Linked DNA regions of Danio rerio. The protein of the gene in region 1 interacts with the protein of each later gene in a pairwise test. Links are inferred from orthologs where the notes say so. Each region holds a gene or a part of one and is shown on either strand. Other genes may lie near its edges.

The links. The genes of interacting proteins can lie anywhere in the genome.
Region 2: the proteins of mtfr1l (region 1) and armc1 interact in binary tests that used the Homo sapiens proteins (3 or more experiments, as listed by UniProt). The two-hybrid records come from large-scale screens. The link is inferred for Danio rerio from reciprocal best matches to the Homo sapiens genes MTFR1L and ARMC1.

Annotation. Positions count from the first base shown.
Region 1 is NC_133192.1:26,101,399-26,106,401, reverse strand, and holds the start of mtfr1l (mitochondrial fission regulator 1-like), read right to left. Parts: upstream 2,969-5,003; 5' UTR 2,833-2,968; intron 2,271-2,832; 5' UTR 2,170-2,270; coding exon 2,155-2,169; intron 2,060-2,154; coding exon 1,952-2,059; intron 320-1,951; coding exon 210-319; intron 1-209. UniProt on the Homo sapiens protein: Mitochondrial protein required for adaptation of miochondrial dynamics to metabolic changes. Regulates mitochondrial morphology at steady state and mediates AMPK-dependent stress-induced mitochondrial fragmentation via the control of OPA1 levels.
Region 2 is NC_133199.1:28,661,523-28,665,207, forward strand, and holds part of armc1 (armadillo repeat-containing protein 1), read right to left. Parts: intron 1,653-3,685; coding exon 1,463-1,652; intron 1,375-1,462; coding exon 1,258-1,374; intron 950-1,257; coding exon 875-949; intron 1-874.

The DNA of each region.
Region 1 (5,003 bases):
TCTCAACTCCGGACCTCGTGTACCTTATGTCTTCCTTAACATACCTGATTCAGATCATCAGCTTATTAACATATATTTCAATGAACTGATCCTTGTGTGTAAAATAAGAAAGACATACTAAACGTGCAGGGTTGGGGGCCCCCCCCAAGGACCGGAATTAAGAATCAATGCACTCAGTGAAGAAAAGTGCATCAGTCTGACAGACTTACCTGACTCTCGCATATGTCTCCTCTTCATCATCTGCAATCCAGGCAATGTCTGCTAGCGTGGGCACAAGCGGACCGTCAAGTGAACGCATTGAAGGAAGGCCTGGGAGTTCCTGGAAAACATAAGACCAAAAACATCTCTTTAAAGGTTCAAGACACCCTGGAGTACTTTTTTTTGACATTTTAACAGATTTGCGTGTCTTGAGCATCAGGTAAGACAACATTAGCACCTATCAGCTCTAATTGAGGGAAAAACTGGATAATTTTGAGCTTGTCAACTAATTTAGTCTTCCAGGTTTAAAATACTTTTGTGGCAGAATCAAAATCGGTGATGTAGCTCGAATCTGCTAGTGGAGTGATGACGCCTCGGTTTCTCATTATTATTCATAGCGAAGTTTTCTTATCCTATGAGAAGACCCTGCTTCTTAATTATTCATAAGAGCACAAGCTTTCCGAAGGCAAGACAGACCTGCCAAGCTGTGAGACAGCCATTGACTGGGTAAGACCGCGTCCATGCACGGGTCGCATGTGTTTGTTTCCATGATCCACAGGGTTTGTTGCATGTTTTTCTCCGCGATTCTGTCAGGGCCGATACAGCAAAACTGATTGTTTGCAGAAAGCAGTTTTGTCGGGAGAGCCGTACGAGAGTTAAAGAATGGCAGACTTTGTCTTTTATCAGTTGAGTTCGTTACCATTCAGACACATCACCTCTGTCAGTGCTGCTGTGTTCGCCAATGTTTAAAATCCTCTGCATTACCGGCAGGGTTAATTGTTGGAATAGAGAGGGAAAGAGACCTGCTGCACTGCTATCTACTGTGTCTGCATTCAGACCTGGGGATTTGGGGGGGGGATCATGACCATTTAAAGCAGGGATCACCAGACTTGTTCCTGGAGGTCCGGTGTCCTGCAGATTTTTGCTCCAACACTAATCAAACATACCTGAACATGGTAATCAAGGTCTTACTAGGTATACTTGAAACACCCAGGCAGGTGTGTTGAGGCAAGGTAAACACAGCAGGACACCGGACCTCCAGGAATGAGATTGGTGACCCCTGATTTAAAGCATCTCTATAAAGTAACATTTTTACCCTTATAAATTCTAAATAACTTTTTGAAAGATTTTACTATATATACAATTGTAATAAACAACATTTTTTTCAGTCTTGGTGGATAAAAAACAACTTTCTTTATCTTAAATATGGCTCTAATTCAATCAGTCAAAAGAGTAAACAAATAAAATCACACTGACTATTTGCAGTCATAGCTGACTGCCCCCAGGGAATAAAAGGAATATTAACTTCTTTTTTTTTTAAATATGTTAAATTAAATCTGTACATCATTAGCTAATTAAAAATATGTTAGTCACACAACTTACTGTATATGACAGTAAGTTTTCCTGCAAAAAAAATCTAATATACTTTGTTTTTTAAATATAAACCAAACCATCAATTAATAATATCTAAATAAGTTTCCGAATGTACGTTTTCCAGGCATAATATTTAAATTGTCATCTAATCTTTAAGATCTAAAAGACCTAAAATCCTTGGAAAAAATTGTTATAATTTCATCACCACATGTAAAAACAAATTTGTATAGCATTTAATATACAAACATTTACTGCATTGAAGATTTTTTTCAACAGTTCTTGTTTTCTCTGGGAATAAAACCTTGGAGTTTCTAGCAGTCCACTATTCTGAGTTCAAGAAACTTGTATAGACCACTTATTTTATTTTTCATTCCCATACCTGGAAACAAGCTCTGGGACATGGTTTAAGAGGCAGCGTAGAGCCGATTCGTCTCACCACGCTACGAGTTGATCCATGCGGTTTATTTTGCCAAATAGGGATAACCTCCTGAGGAGCAAATAAACAGAAAATAAGTACCAAAAAATACATAAACATTACCAAAACATAAATAAAACAGTTCTTTAAGCTGTTTATTTACTCACTGCTTCTGTTTCCATTTTGAAGTGTTGAAAGAAAGCACCGCTGCCTAGACTGTAGTGGGGTTTTGATTATATTACAGCACACTGAACATGTTTATCTGAGATGGGAGTTGCTTGGCCTAAAAAAATTAAATGAAAAACCTGAAATAGTCAATACTTCTTATGAAAACCACTGTCAATGCTTATCAATTATGCACAGTTTAAATGAGCACAGCAATTATGTTTTTGCAGTGGCTGCATATTAAGTGCCTCCCTTATGCTACGGATTGTGCAAATTTAGTCAACAAAATAAATAAAGTGATGAGGGCACAGTGTAATTACTGATGTTTTACAATACACAGCAGCTATTACATTAAATATACCCAAGTAAAATACAAGTCAAGTAAACAAAACATTAAATACTAAATAAAGAGGTAAGCAAAGAAATAAAATAAATAAGAGTGGAAAAATTAAAACAATTAATTAATTGAACAGGCGATTAGGGTTTTAAAAAAAAGCTATTTAACAGTGAACACTTAAAATTGAGAACACTTAAAAATACACTAAAATCTATAGCATAAACAAGGTAAACAAACCAAAAGCGTCCTGTGACCCTCATTTCTTCCTTTAGCATCTCAGCTAACAAACGACCTCATAAAGTGCACCTGCTTACTATGCATCGATATGAAATAGAAGACCTACCGTGTGTGGTAAGAGTAGATCAGAATATTTTTTGCACTGGTGCAGATTACTCTGCTTTACTGTGTGAGAAATGTCTGATCTTCCTTTATCCCTCTTCCGTTAGCCGTTTAGCCGATAGCCCAGCGCGCCCCCGGCTAATTTGCAAGAAGTGCATGAGTCGGAAGAACGTGTGTGGGAACATCGTTCTGCGATTGGCTCAAATTCCGCATATGTTACCTCACAGTCCAATAGAATTTGTCCTTGGCAGAAGCGTTTTAAATACAAAATAAAAGTAAATAACGTAAGTAAATGCACGGAAGATTAAATTATAGAGTTTTGAAATAAGCGAATGTTTATAACAGTAGATTAGAGATTTTTATGTTTACAAAAAAGTGAATTTGTTTTTATTTACACCTGTTATATGCACCCTCGGTGATCGAAAATAAAATAAAAGTCACCTTATTAAAAAATGAATATAGCTGCTTTGCTATAAAGCACTGATAGCTACAAATATGGATTCACTCATATAAAGATATATATTTTATCCAATGCATTCTATGTGGACATTTAGCTGATGTACTTGAGAATTTAGGAGATTTTGATCGCAGTGTTGTGCTCTTATCTCATGACTGGTGACAGATTCACTGCAGCGGCATCAAAACACATGACAGCCCATCATGCGGAGCGTCCCGATCAGCTGCTCATTTTCTGGCATCATTAAAGACCAAGGTAAGCTCGGTTGATATATTTGGTGGTTTTACAGCATTAATACCAAAGTTTAGAGCCAAGTTGAGAGAAACGCGCAAAAGAGCCCAGCACAATGAATGATCCATCTTAGACTGCTGAAGAATTTGAATCAGATGCAGACATTAATCATCAGTTTCTGTATTATTGAGAAAAGAGACAGTTGTTAGTGACATTAAGCATTATTAATGATGTTTATATGCGTTAGAGTTGCTGCTGGACACAGAAGTGCGACATTGTGATGCTGCTCGGCCTTCAGCACTGCATTAAAAATCCCCAACTTCAGCTGTGTTTTGGGCCCGATTGTTGCTTCGACGTCTCTTTTATGTTATATTGCTTTAATCAAGCACATCATTTCTGGACTTTGAAATTTAATGTTTGCATAAGCGAGTCAGTTTGCAAAAATCCGCTTATTTGGGTTTTGTTAGACCACATGCACTTCCAGAGTAGCCTATTAAATGTGTATGGGTATATATTTAGCGGGTTCTTACTTTTTTTTGCATGGCTTTAATTGTTTATAGAACAAACGTCTGCTTAAATGTTTCAAATCACATTTGTGAAAAGTAAATATGACAATATGGGTGAAATAAAATACCTAAATCGTTCAGCATAACATTTTTGTATATTGAATGAATAAAAGAATCATCCTAAATTTTAGGAAAGTGGGGAAAAAAAGATTTAAAATGGTTATCCATGTTTTAGGTTTGAACTGTGTCCTCCTTAAAGACGCAATGTGTAAGATTTATTTACATTAAAAGCACTGGAACAGTGCTATATATGTTGCTGACTTATATGCATAGTTGAAGTCAGAATTATCAAAGCCCCTGAATTATTACCCCCTGTTAATTTTCTCAAAACAAAAAAAAAAAAGCTCAAATGGGCTAATGATTTTGAAATTGCTTTTATTCTAGCCAAAATATAACAAACAAGACTTTCTCCAGAATAAAAAATATTATCAGGCATACTGTGAAATTTTCCTTGCTCTGTTAAACATAATTTGGAAAATATTTAAAAAAGAAAGAATATCAAAGGGGGGATAATAATTCTGACTTCAACTGAACATTACACCAAATAAGCAATTTCAACAGGTGACACAGGCTGTGTTCTGTCAACATGGTAATGACATAATATACTATTGATTTCTAGTTTCATAGACAACAGGGAATCACCAAAGATACTTATTTGATATGTTGTGTGTTTTATTAGACTGCACAGAGCAGCATTATAACAAAAATGCCAAATTAATTTAGTGTGTCCCAGTACTGGGTTGCAGCTGGAAGGGCATCTGCTGCATAAAACATGTGCTGGATAAGTTGGCGGTTCATTCCACTGTCATGACCCCTGATTAATAAAGGGACTAAGTCAAAAAGAAAGTGAATGAATGAATGAATGAATTTTGTATGAACAGCATTGCTTCTTCTGTTTGTGATTACAAGCTGAAGAACCGT
Region 2 (3,685 bases), on another chromosome or scaffold:
ATTTTAAATAGTAGTAGTAATTATAATATTAATAATAATGAAGTTATTATTGTTGTTGATTTTCATTATAAAAATTATTATTATTAAGTTCTATATTAAATAGAAATAAGTAAGTTATTCATCGTGCACCAATTGTTTTTGTTTAAAACTTAATAAAATATTTAACATTTCATTAACATGTTTACAAAAATATTGTCCAATAAAAATACATTTCTATAATTATTATTGTTTTTAATAACAATAATACCTTTTCTGCTTTTATAGTAAAATACTTGTGTAATTTATTTAATTTAACATTTACTAAAATGTTTTAGAACAAAAAGGTGAACAGATAATAAAAACAATTACATTTTTTAAATTGTGATTAATCTTCCACTCATTTACAGAAAAAAAAAATATATAAAGTTTAGTGTGAAATGTCATCATTTCTAGTTCTTCCATTCAGCACGTTAATTCTTAGTCAATTGTGCCACCTGCTGGTCAATAATGAAAGTGTATGATGAAGAGGTTTCCAAAGGTGCTGTTCTGCAGCCACTACAGGTCACAACTGCACTGCTGCAGGTACAGATCGCCCTTCCAATTCAACTAGAGAGGACACATCTCTCCTCAATTACCAGACTCTGTGCATGTACGTGTGTGCAAGGCCCTTTGACTTTTTCAGAGGCAAGGTGACATCCTAAATGATCATGTGATGAGGGGAATAAGAGTAACTCTTAGCAGGGTTTAGCCATCAGACAGACAGAATCATATCCAACATCGTCAGCTACAGGAAGTGCAGTTTGAGTCAAATGGATAACTAATCTACACTGAACAGTGTATCTTTCTTGTGTGTGTGTGTGTTTGGTTATGGTCAGTGTTTGTTTGTTTGACTGACCTCTGCTCCATCTTCCCCTTTCACAACCTGCTGTGCCTTCATGACTTTGGTTGAAGCTATAGCAGTTCCCAAGGCCTAAAGAAAAGAAAATATAAAGAAAAAAACAAATGAGGAAAAGGAGTTTCTGATTTTAAAGCTTTAAAGCTAGCATGTTTAGAAATGTGTAGAAAAAAATATCTTTCCTTTAAACAGAAATTGGGGAAAAAATACTTAAAATTGAAATTTACCAAGAGGGCGAACACATTTTATGTTCATTCTTATATAAATCATTATTTGAAATGTAAAAATGGTTTAAATAAAATAAAATAGATGATTATAATGAAATCAATTTTTAATTCTCAGATGTGTTCTTCTAAATGGACAGTGTTCGATTGGGAACTGACCTCTGCCTTCAGGTCTGAGCGGATTCTGACCACGCATCTCTTCACGGCCATCTGAAAGGTAAAACTGATGACTCCTTTAATCTTCAGCAGAGCCTCCTCACAAAGACTCCTCCGAGACTGACAAAGAAAACCCAGAGATAGAAGTCACATTGAGCCAAAACCAAATCTCTTAACGCTCCATTACAAAGCAATTGTCTGTGCTTACCGAATCATCAAGCCCATCAATCTGAAGCACCACAGTTTTGGCCCGTTTGTTGGTTGCGCCCAGGAAGAACTGGGCTTTTCTTCTACAGGAGGCTCCGGCTTCTGCCTGTTCAGCCTCTGCACTGCTGGAGTTCTGCAGGATCTCGTAGATCTCAGAGGCCAGCAGCTTGGTTTCTCCTGGAGACGTGCCTCTGTACAAATACATCACAAACATTAGCCTTCATACACTTCAGTTGTGATGTATGGAAGAGTGTTTTCAGGTTCAAACCGCTACTTATTTGAATTGAGAAATAACTCCGTAGCCGTTTATGATCACTGTTAAGTGACACCACATATTTATTCAAACTGTCAGTATCGGTGAAATGGTTCAAATATTTCAACTTATTTTATAATGATTCTAAAAATGTTCTCAGATGCCAAACAAAGCATTTAAATGTTTACATTGATTATTTTTATTTTTTACATCTTAAAAATAAACATTACAAAATGTATGCAAGTTTGCAATCTTTCTCACGTTTGCAGATCCAGTATGAGAACGAGCCGCTATGTCAAGCCTGATGTTTATAGCCAGGATAAGTGCACATTCCCAGCATTTGTTAACAGACCACGGAATCAATCACAGAATCATTGATGCAAGTATAGAGAAAACCCGATGTGAGCCCATCGGGTAACTAGTAGAAAAACAACTCTCTCGCCCACCAATCTGGGAACTCCCCTGCTGAAAAATCTAGCTTAAACCAGCCTAGGCTGGTTGGCTGGTTTTAAAAGGGTTTTGGCCATTTCCAGGCTGGTTTCCAGCCATTGGTCTTAGCTGGTAAATGGCCAGCTAAATCCAGCTAAAACCAGCTTGACCACCCTGGTTTAAGCTGGACATAGCTGATTTTGACTGGGCTACCAGCCTGGCTAGGCTGGTCAAGCTGGTTTTAGCTGGTCATCTCCCAGCCTGACCAGCTAAGACCAGGCTGGAAATGGCTGGAAACCAGCCTGGAAATGTCCAAAACCCCTCTAAAACCAGCCTGGTCGACCAGCTAAAACCAGCCAACCAGCCTAGGCTGGTTTAAGCTGTTTTTTTCAGTAGGGTCCCATTACTTTCATTCAGAAAATTAACAGAAACATATGAAGCGAGTCATATTAACCAATTAAATCGTTAACTTTTTCTTAAATGTGACCAATTCATACTACTAATGAATTTATTGTGAAGATTATATCAAGCCCTTACTCAATAATGCAGATGTATTTTATCTAATTAGTTTATTTTATCGAGTTTGTTTAATCTTCATCTATATGATCGTTTATACATCGTTTTCATTTAAGATATTTTATTTCTGATTGAGTCTATTTGATCTATTATAATTTGTATAATTATAATTTGATTTGGTTTCATTATCAAAATAAATAAATAAAAACTTTATAAACATATGATTAGATATTTAATAACAAAAATATAAAATTGTTGGCATTTTCTAGTTTTTTTTTTGCAATATCTTGTTTGAATTTAAATGTATTATTTTTCTATACCTAAAGATGTCTGGTGAGCGAAGACTTATTTTAATGAATGGAACTGTTAAATAAAACCCTTTTGTTTAAAATGCACCAAAAAATATAGTCTATATACACTGTATGTGGAAATTATTCTTAACGCTTCACTTTTTCAACATTTTTTATGTTACAGCCTTATTTAAAAAATGATTAAATTAATTTATTTCCTCAAAATTCTACACACAATACCCCATAATGACAATGAGAAAAAAAAATACTTTTTGAAATTGTTGTAAATTTATCGAAAAAAAAAACAAACAAAAAAAACGGGAAAAATCACATGTATATCAGTATTCACAGCCTTTGCTGTGAAACTCTAAATTAAGCTCAGGTACATTCCGTTTCCACTGATAACCCGATGGTCACTCTGTCAGCTCCAGCATTCTTCTGTGGAAAGAAGTGGACGTTACAGAAGGACATCCATCTGTACGTAAATGACTTGTATGGTAGAGTGGCCAGACAGAAGGCACTTCCCACCTGGAATTTGCCAAAAGGCATCTGAAGGACTCAGACCATAAGAAACAAAATTCTCTGGTCTAATAAAACTAAAATTTAACTCTTTGGAGTGAATGCCTGGCGTTACATTTAGAGAAAACCAGGCACCCCTTATCACCAGGCTAATACCATCCCTACAGTGAAGCATGGTGGTGGCAGCATCATGCAATGGGGATGTTTTTCAGCTGAA